Macaca mulatta: one gene and its partner. The protein of the gene in region 2 interacts with the protein of the main gene of each other region in a biochemical or structural test. Links are inferred from orthologs where the notes say so. Each region holds a gene or a part of one and is shown on either strand. Other genes may lie near its edges.

What was found.
Region 1: the proteins of NRIP1 (region 2) and THRA form a complex in vitro, tested with the Homo sapiens proteins (4 studies listed by BioGRID). The link is inferred for Macaca mulatta from reciprocal best matches to the Homo sapiens genes NRIP1 and THRA.

What each region holds. Positions count from the first base shown.
Region 1 is NC_133421.1:64,420,393-64,425,665, forward strand, and holds the start of THRA (thyroid hormone receptor alpha), read left to right. Parts: upstream 1-1,724; 5' UTR 1,725-1,852; intron 1,853-5,273.
Region 2 is NC_133408.1:32,665,893-32,671,166, reverse strand, and holds the start of NRIP1 (nuclear receptor-interacting protein 1), read right to left. Parts: upstream 3,456-5,274; 5' UTR 3,244-3,455; intron 2,508-3,243; exon of another isoform or gene 2,252-2,507; intron 1-2,251. UniProt on the Homo sapiens protein: Modulates transcriptional activation by steroid receptors such as NR3C1, NR3C2 and ESR1. Also modulates transcriptional repression by nuclear hormone receptors.

The DNA.
Region 1 (5,273 bases), on a different chromosome or scaffold from region 2:
GCACCTCGTTCTGCTCACTGCACTGACTGCACGCTGCAGCCTCCTGCCCCACACTGCAGCTGTTGCTTGTCTCCTGTGAGCCCAGACTGAACACAGGTTCGCTTACTGCATGGAGGCTTCGCACGCTGCAGCCTCAATTCACCATTACAGCTGCCACTGCACACCACAGGCTCCCTTCACCCATGGCATGCCCTCAACACCACCACTGCACTCTGCACGCTATAGGTTTCATCCCAGTTGCTTTTCTCATCTCCATAGTTCCAGGGACCCCAAGAGAGGTACCCTCCCCTCCACCAAGAATTACAAACTCCAGTACCCCCTGTGAAAGAAGTGGCTTCAACAGCACTGAGGATGCAGGTGGCTGATACTAAGACATGAGCAAGGGCAACCCAACTTGGGTAAGCTGTGGGTCAGAATCCCACACTCACCAAGTGATTCTGCCCAGTATAAACTGGGCGATTAGCCGAGCAGCTCCCCCTAACACACACACACTCGCATACACACACACACCCCTCCCCAAGAGCAGACTGTGTAGCCAGAGCCCCACCCTGAGAGCCGTGGGAAGGCCGTGGCCCCCGCTGGTAAAACTGGGCTAATGACAGCAGGGGAACCGGCGGGGCCAGGGGGGTGCTGGGGTAATTAGGGCTCAGCCTGGCGCTAGGAGATCCTGAGATGAAAGGTGCTCTGGCGTCACTGGGTTGGTTTTATGTCCATGAATGCAGGTGTGTGGTGTGTGTATGTGTGTGCTGGGGGTGGGGCTGGCATGGTGGAGACCTCTCCTTTGGGTTGGGTTAGGGGGTCCATTTGTACGCAGCCCACCGTCTTCCTTAGGTTGACTCTGGTACCATTTGGATTTTCGTGGGAGCAAACATGGGGGGAAATACCATCACCGGGGAGCTAGGAATTGAGGGGGTATGGCAGCTCTTGTCCCCTCCCCAGCGCAGGAGAGGGAGCAGATTGTTGGGGAAATGGCTGGTGACAGAGAATAGAAAGAGCCTATATGGAGAAGGGTGACGTTGGAAAGGGGAGGCAGTGGTTCGGTATTGATGTTAGAAATGAGAGGGGAGGGAGGTAACGGGGAATGAGCCCCCACAAGGATTAAAAACGTAAGATGATTGAAGTTAAAAGGACATCAGGGGTCACCTGCCCAGCCTTCGCACCTGAAGCTTGAGGAAGCTCTGCCCCCGACAGCAGTGGCGATTTGTCAAGGTCACACAGTGAGTTACTGGCGGAGAAGGGACCCGAACACCCAAACAAACTCTACACCTGCAAGCATTTGGTGTTTAGACTTTCTCCCCCATGTATAAGGTGCAGGCGGCTCGTCGATACTTCCTCCTCCACCCCCACGGTGCACACCCGAAAACCCCCCAATTCTCCCGGCAAGCAAAGGCTATTTTTTAATGACATCTTTTCCAAAATATGTCACCAAGTACCCACTCCTGCGGGAGCCGCCCGGGCGGGGGAGGGCGAGTCAGAGCGGGGCGGGGCAGAAGCGGCCGAGGGGCGGCCGGGCCTCTGGCGGGGGTCCCGGGGCGCGGCAGGGGGCGGGGGGCGGGGGCGGGCGGCGGCGAGGCGGCCTGCAGGGAGCAGCCGCGAGCCGGCCGGGCGCGCCGAGCCCGAGCCCCAGCCGGAGCGGGGCGGGGGAGGGAGGAGCCAGAGCGGCCGCCGCCTCTGCCGGAGGAGCCGCGGGGCCGCCACACTCGCCCCCCGCCCCCCCCGCGCTCACTCGCACTCACACCCGGGCGCAGGAGGCGGGCGGCCCGGGCCCCACCGGCCCCCCATGGACGCCCCCAGCACGGGGCGCTGAGACCCCCGCGTCGCTGCCCAGCCCGGTCCAGCGCGCCACGCCGAGGTAAGGAGGAGGGAGCGAGGGCATTAATATGCAAATGCCTTGCGATTGATTATGCAAAGCCGCGGGGCTCCGTGGCCAGCTCCCAGGCGGGCTGGGGGCGCCCAGGGGGTACCCGCTGCCAGCCTCAGCCTTTCCCGGCACCCCAGTGACCCTGTCACGAGCCCGGGAGCGTCAACTGACGCCCTGGGGAAGGGAGGTGTTGTAGGAGGTCGGTGGGCCCCGGGGTTCGCAGGCGGAGATGGCGTCCGAGCCTCCCCCTCGAGGGCCCGCCCGGCCTCTGTCCGGCCAGTCTGCTGCGCATTCCCGGGCCGGGCCCCGTTGCCGGCCGCCGGAGCTCCCCCCGCCCGCCGCGCCGCGGTTTGTTTACGGTGCGCCGGAGGCCTGCCCCCCCCAGCCCCCACCCCTAGCCTCTGAGGCCGAGTGGCCTTTGCAAAGCTGCCTCCAGCTGCGGAGGGCAGTATGAGTGCGGTGGCGGTGGTGGGCTTGCACGGGTCCTGGGAGAGGGAAGTTCCCCCCCTCGCTTCACCCGCCTCCCAGTTGAGCATGGCTGTCTGGTTGCAACACTCCTAATTGCAAAAACGCGGCTGTTGGGGGGAATGTGTGTGTGGAGGGGGTGTACTTGATGGTGCCTAGATGATTAGGAGAGTTGCTGGCTGGGGAGGACAGGGAGAAATGGACCTGTTTGTGTACCCCACCTTGTTTCCCTCCCCTTGCAACGTGTCTCTGGTGCCCCTTCTGCATGTGGGGCCCTCCCTTGTCCAGCGTGAAAGAAAGGCCTGGGGGATGACAGGGGCAATTGAAAGAACCACCGTTCCAGGGGTGGGGGTGGGGGACACAGAAGGAAAGACAGTGAGGTGGGAGCCTGCCCCTCAGTGCTGCCTTTGGCTCCAGGAGGGGGAGGGGATGAAGGGGGCTGTTGTCCAAAATAAGGGGGGGAAGCAAAAGTGACATGCAGACACAGAGATATGTCCACACAGACAGCCACATGCACACCCAGGGACACCCAGGCGGACTCAAGGACAGGAGCTACTGGACACACCCACATGGGGACAAGGGAAGAGGCAGGCTGCTGCTGCACCGTGGAGCTCAGACGGGTGGGATATACCCACGGGAGACCAAGAGCATGGGGACCGACCCATGCACATACCCACCCACACACAGGGTCACACGGAGATGCTGTCACACACTGGGGCAAGGAGGAGTTGCTGTCACCCACACATAAAAAGTCACTGTCACATGCATGCATGCACACAGAGCAGTTGCACACAGCCGCACAATTACAAAAGACCCTGTCACTCACAGGCACACACGTGCTCGCATGAGCCCAGTCACACAGACATCATTGCTTGCCGTGACAGTCGCTATCACTCAGTCAGATGCAAACACAGTTACACATCAACACATGTATACACAACTTAGCAACAAGTATTTTCCTGGACTCTTACTGTGGAACTCTGAGGTTCTGCAGGCAACAAAACCCTTGCTCCCAAGAATATTAAATTTGGCTGTATGAAAAGGTGTTCCTGCGTAATGGTGCAAAGCCTGCATTCCTAATGACATCTTCTTGGTCTCTATCGATTGAGATACCACCCTACTAGACAGTGAGCTCTTAGAGACCTGGGAGAATCACTTAAAGAGCTCTGGATGCCACCCAGAGCCTAGCACAAGGGCTGCTCTGTAAATACTTGTGAGTTGATTGACTGTGGAACCTGCAGACACAGGTGCACTCATTTGCACATGGTCCCCTGAACTAAGGTACAGAACGAGTTCATGAGGCCCAGGTCCCCACAGTTGCAGGTCCACACCAACAGTCGTGTCCACACAACCCCAGATGCACACAACTGGAGCCTGTGCAGCCAAGCACACACTTAGATGCACACAATCACAGACTTTTCCCCTTCAGCTTCCTCCTCCCTTTTTCCTCTAGGCTCAGCCACTGTGCGGGAATGGGCTTTTTTTTTTTTTTTCTTTTTTTTCTTTCTTTCTTTTAGAGGGACAGAGAAACAAGAGCAAAGACAGTGGGTTCAGGGGGGTTCCAGAGGGCCGAGTCATGGGCTCAAAGCAGTATCCAGTGACTTCTAGAAGCTGGGATTCTCTTGACTGCTGGGGGAGGGGAGAGCTGCTCTTCTCCCTACCCTAAAAGCTCTGGGGTGTCTAACTGCCCCTGCTCTGAGTCATTTGCCTGGGCCTTTCCTGGGAACAGTCAGTCACCCCCAGCTGAGTTCCTGCATCCCACCTTGAGTCTGGCCCTTTTTCCCACCTGGACCCTTCTGTCCAAACTTGGAAGCTTTCCTTAAGAGGCCATCGGCTGACGAGTGTCTGTATGAGTGATGTGTATTTTTGACTTGGAATTTCTCTCTAACTCTGTCTCTCTTTCTGTTGTTCTGTCTTGCAGTGTCTGATTCTCCCTCCCTCTCTCCTTTTTCCTCTGCCAGTCTGTAACTCTCTCTCGCCCTGTCGCTACCCCCCGTCTACCCCTGTCCTTGTCTCAGAGCTGGGGACTGGCAGCAATGTTCTTCATACTTTTCCAGTTGTTAATACCCAAGCTCCGCCCCTCGGCCCCCCCTGTGCAGCCTCTGGGGTCAGCTTGAGGTTGGGGTGGGGGGCGGGGGGCTCAGCTGGCTGCTCAGGACTTCCTGCACTTCCTTAGTGCTGCAGCTGTGGCCAGCAAGTTTTAGGGGCTGGGAACGGGGGAAGAGAGGGGGGGTCAGCCACTGCCCATGCTGACCCCTCGGGCCTGCATGTCTGGAGACACCAGTTCTGTGGGCACCCTCAGGGTGCAGGCTGCAGCCAGCTAGCAGCTCTTAAGCAAGCCCCCCACACTGGCCCAAGCTGGAAAAGAACCGCCCCCATGGGCAGTGGGGGAGCTGGCAGGACCCTGCTGAGTTGGGTCCACTGCAGGGCTCACAATGGCCTTTCTCCACACCCCTGGCAGCTGAGGCCCACCTCAGAGATGCCCAACAGCTGTGTCCTCTTTGCCCAGCCTCAGGGCCTGGTTCTGAGGGCACAGCTGCCCAGACTAAGTGTGTGCTAAGCGAGGCCCACCCATGAGTGCAGGTTCCAGCCTAGAAGGGGTACCTCTTCCGGAAAGGGAATTTGAGGAGGGGGGACTGGGGTAGGAGACACAGAGCCCAGGGGCACCAAGCACTTCTCACCATGCCCCCCTCTAGCCTTGGCCTATTTGGAGGTGGAGGCACCCACAGGGCAGCTACAGAGGGGAAGGACTGAGGCTTGGTCTCAGGGAACATATAGCTGGATGAAGGAACAAGGCATTGGGCTGGGCACAGTGGCTCACGCCTGTAATCCCAGCACACTGGGAGGCCGAGGCAGGCAGATCACCTGAGGTCAGGCGTTCAAGACCAGCCTGACCAAGATGGTGAAACCTCATCTCTACTAAAAATACAAAATTAGTTGGGCATGG
Region 2 (5,274 bases):
AGCCCACTCAACTTGAGATGTCATAATTTTCCATTCTAAAGGTGGCATGGATAATTTAAATGGGCACTTGCTATTTATTACTTAAATAATTGTTCGCTTGGATGGCCTTTCGAAAGCTAGTACTTCTTAATCATTTTCGACTGTATCAGAACTATAACAGGCATGTCAATTTAAGCAAACTTCATGAGCAATAAACTAACAAACAGACTCTAGGTGGTGGTATAGGTTATTTTTTATCATGATGTTTTGCACTTACAACCGCAAGAGTCAGAAAAGCCTTTAGTCTCTTCACACATTTCTTTAGTGCAAAGTTAACAACATTTTAGGCTGTTAAAATTAGCAAAATCCAAGTTCTACAGAGTTTGCAAATGCATGTAAAACAGGCATTAAACCTGGTTTTCAACTAACTTCCCACAGGCATTAAACCTGCCTTTTTCACCTAACTCATTTGAATAAAATCAACAACGAACAGTCCTTTTTTTTTTTTTTTTTTTTTTGGATGTGTATTTTGCTCACACTCCTAGGGCACTTCCCAGGGTAAGTTTGGAAAGAGGTCTTTCTCCACTAGAGTATGACACAGACTAGAGCAACCAATCCTGTAACCTGCAGGGCAGTAGCTGTTCCACTAATTGATTCTCCTTCTTTGTCTCTAGGAACTATGCCCAGGCAGAAAAAAAGTTACTATAGGTGATGAAGCCAGCGCTCCCCTGAACCAAATAAACCCTATCGACATTACCAAACTGCTGGGCAAAAGCAGAGCAATTCACTTACTTCGAAGGTGAAAACACTTCAACATACACCAGGCGGCAACCGACACTTAGGGGCTAAGCAGATGAAACACCATTTGTTTAAAAAGTCTATTATCTCACTGTCTCTTCCACAAAGGTGGAAAACTGATGATTAAACATTGAATAATGCCACCCACTTACTAAACCTATGATTCACTAATAAGCATTCAATGCAATTCATAACTTTAAAGAATGAATTACCGAAGCCCCTTGCTTCACAAATTTTCCCAAGAAACAGAAAGAGCATTCATCACCTATAATCCGACAACCATTTTTACTACGGACACCTACAGATGGCTTCTCTTCCTCTAACGACACAATTTCCTTCACAATCCCACATGTAATCATTTACAATACCAGAGACAAACTCCACCTCAGTTCCACCAGCCGAGTTTTTAAAAATCCTTGTGCCTAAGAACGTCTTCTTTCCCCAAAGTAAAATGTGCCATTAAAAAATATTTTTAAAAAGCAAAAGTGCTTATCATTCCGTACTTCTTTTACTACCTTCAGCAGCCAATTACTGACGTGATAAAAGGTAGAAACTCCTGGAATGCTTCAGAGATCAACATGTGTCACAGACTCCCAGCCTGTCCGCCTCTAAGACACAGTTGGTTCCTTTGTTCCTTCAGACTGAACACCAACTCCTGATTAAAATTGGGAAACTACTTTGGAAGGGATGTGAGGGTCTGCAGAATACGTCCACGGAAACCTTCATAAAACAATATGCAATAGTAGTAAGGTGGGGACAGCAGAAGGGAGAAAGGGCAGCCTCCCGGACTTCCACGGGGCTCACCCTAAATGGGGGCCGGCCCCTGGCTCCTGGTAAAATGATGGCTGAGGCCTCGGGTCCGTGAGCCACGCCATCCGGGGGGGACGGCGAGTGCGGGCAGAGCGGGCCTGGGGTCCGTTGGGGGCCGGGCGAGCTGTCCGTTTTCCTATTCACTTTCCCAGCCGGGTATCCAGCGAGCACGGAGCAGGCAGGCACCCAGGCGAAAGGCGCCGCCCAGGATCCGGCTGGACAGCAGGATCGAGAGCGGCGCGGCGAGCGGTGCCCGAGGTTCGCGACCGAGAGGGCAGGCGAGCGAGGGGCAACCCCGACCCGGCCCCCCGAGCTCCAGTGTCCGACCCCGCGCAGGGGCCACGCGACGGCCGCCCCCTTGCCCAGAACTGGCACGGACGGGCGGGCCGACCCGGGGCCACTCCACAACTTGCCGGCCCGCCGCCCCGGCCCCCCGCGAGAACCCGGGGAGACTCGAACCAGGCAGCAGAGGCAGGATTTCCCCGGAAACGCGCCCTCCACGCCGCCCCGTGCGCGCCCGCGGCCGGCCGCGCTGCCCCCGCCGCCCCGACGCCCCCGCGGCCCTGCCCGCCAAGCCAGCGCCGACCCGGGCCGCGCTCCGGGGCCGTTTCCGGCGGCGCCGGCGGCCGCTACTCTGGGCGCCCTGGCCGCGGCCGTCACTCACCCCAGGCCGCCGCGGCTCCCAGCCTCCGGCTCCGTCAGGCTCGGTCCGCGAAGGCGCCTGCCGCCCCGTCCTGGCCCGGCACCCCGGCGAGCTCTTCCCTCCGACCAGCGGCGCTCCCGGCGCAGCGGCGGACGCGAGGCCACGGGCGGACGGGCGCGCGCGGGTGGCGGGCGGGCGTGGGGCCGGATCGTCCCTGCGCCTCGCCGCCGCCTCCTCCGCCGCCGCCTCCCGAGTTCGGGGCTCTGCTGCAATGTCTGCGAGGCTGACTTTGAGCGCCTCGCTCGCCGCCCGCCCGCCCGCAGCCGCGCTCCTCCCTCCGCCGCCGAGTCCGCCGCGGCCCAGTCCCTCCCCTCGCCGCCCCACGCCATTCAGCTCTTCAGCCAAGTTTCTTAACCCTTTTCTCCCCCTCCCTCCCATTGTCAGCCGGTCAGGAGGAAGCCGTGCGGGTCCGGGCCGCTCGCGGGAGCTACGGAGCCCCCTATGGTTCGTGGATTTCCTCCTCGCCTGCTCTCCGGGTGGCTCAGACGGGGCTGCAGGGCCCGGAGGCAGCGAAAGGACCGCGTCCCCAAGAGAGGGGCTGCTCGGCGCGCCCGGGCCGTCCTCCGGGCTCCCAGCTCTGTCCAGCCGCCCGCGACCGCTGCAGGCGCCTGGACAGCTCCTCCTGGGAACCCGGGGAAGCGCTCTCGGGACCCAGGCCGAATGCTCCCGTTTGGGCAGAGCCTGGGGACCGGGGCACCCCAGACGCCCCAGGGTCCCCGCCTGGGTGCTGGCGCCTTAAAAGTCTACCTCCTCCCCTTCACCCCACAACACGCGCTCCCTGCGCCCCCTTTCACCCCCCCACCCAATTTCTATCTCCTTGTAATCTCTGTGTCCTGCTTTAATCTTGGGGGGCGCGGGCGCGAACTCTGGGTCACTTTGACCCCACGCCCAGCACGTAGTAGGCACCCAGCCCTCATGTGGAGCGACTCCGGGAGGAAAACTAGGAAGGAGACCTGAGGAGCGCCCCGCTCAGCTCCCTGGACAGACGTAGGACCCAGGAGCAGGGTTAATCCTCGGCTGCTTTGTCACTGCGAAGTCTCCAGCGGAGTCTGTCAGCCAATCTACATCATCCCCGGGAAGGATCTGACCCAACCAGACAAGGCAAAAGGAGCAGAGCTGCTACTTCTTCAGCAGCTCTCCTCGGTTCAGTCTCCGAATAAGAAATAACAATTACATCACGAGGCCGGGGCGGCAGCGCGGTGGAGCCTCTTGGTTTCCTGCAGCCTAATCTCGCTGAACCCGCCTCTAAATTGGGGGGGCTACAGACTGGTGAAACGAGAAAGTGGAGGGAGGAGAGAGTCATACGAAACCATAATTTCCCCTTATCCGTGTATTTGCTGTTTTAAAAATCGTATCCTCAGCGCTCCCCAAACATCTCCCTAGAACTATTAACACCCCCTCAACACCTCCCCAGATGTCAGGTTTCTTTTTGACTTGAGCATCCAGCATTTAGTAATTCGCCATGAAAAAAATTACCAGGGGAAACCAATGTTGTTGCTGAAATTGTTTTTGCTTGACACAAAAAAGCTAAAGTATAGCTTAGTCTCACCCGAAATTCTGAAATGGCATGCCTGTGTTAAAACACTTATTACATAAGACAAATGAGCCGATGAGGCACTCCATTCTTACATGTAGGTTTTTATATCCTGAAGAATTTGATAGCATTTGAAAATGGAGTTGCTAATGCGCTTAAAAAACAACAACTATCCAAGTCATGAAACTGTATTCTATGCCTGTTATGTAATGGCTGTATTGTGTACTGCAAATTTCACTTAACCTTTAAAAATATGAATGAGAGTTTTAGAATACTGTCACAGTCTTGAAAGTGAAAGCAATTTTTCAAATTAATGCTTAATAAATTCAGCACCTAGCACAGTGCCGGGCACATGGTACCGATGTTTTCCTTAGTGACAATGGCACTTTTAAAAACAATTATTTTACATCACCCTACTGATTGAACTATGCAATCTGTTGCCATTTTAAAAAGTTAAACCTCATATAATACCATATTATTTGCATATACCACAATTCAAAATCTGCTGTAGGCAAATTAGTAAAGGCTGCTGTTTTTTAGTGCATCATTTATTCAAAATTGATACAAAGCAAACCGTTTCAATGATGACCAGCGTAATTGGAGCTTGGCCCCTTAGTGGGGGTCAAACTTTTTTTGCGAAAATTATTTTTAACCATAATACAAAGATTTTTCTACAATGTATTGCAAATGTTTCTCTTAAGCGGTTTATTGAACATCATTTAGCATTTTCTTGACAATTCAGTGTCAATTTTATTAAAAGTAATTGTTGTAGTAGGTTGTAGTGGATTCAGGAAATATATCCAGTTCCTATTCTATATTCTTCCTAGGTGTTAGGGATTCTCCCAGGAGGTCCAAAAGCTATCAGTCGCTACACCAAAGGACTGTAGGATGCCATGACTTAATGATTATCTCTGCCTTTTGTAATTTCTCTCTCTCCCCCTTCACTAACTGACAATCTGTTTTGCTTACTGTTACTAGCACAGCTGTCACTAACATTCTCCTCATCTTCTGATTGGTAACTTCCAGTCTAGTGCGGACTGGGAATCCAGATAGCCTCACTTGTCACAATTCTGTCTAAAGTAAACTTAATAGGTTCTGGGTAAGGGACTAATGGCTCACCAAGGAGTAGGGTGCACACACACCTTAGTGCATAGACTATGGAAAGATATTTGGACTACTCAAATCTATCTTTTAAATGCATTCCTCTTCTTAACCAGGTTTTGAACCACGGAGATTGCCCAACAAGCCAAGAATTTTCCAGCCCTCCAACATTGGTGTTAAAAAGTCCACTGCTATATGCTAGATGACTTCCCAAAGCTGTTCACTTATTATTATTCTGTTTTCTCAACCCCACAAAAATCCAGTCACTGAAATCCTGAACTCTTTTGATAGTGGCATGAGTGTTAAGTTAATTGCACACCTCTTGTGGAATTCATTTTCACTTAATCTT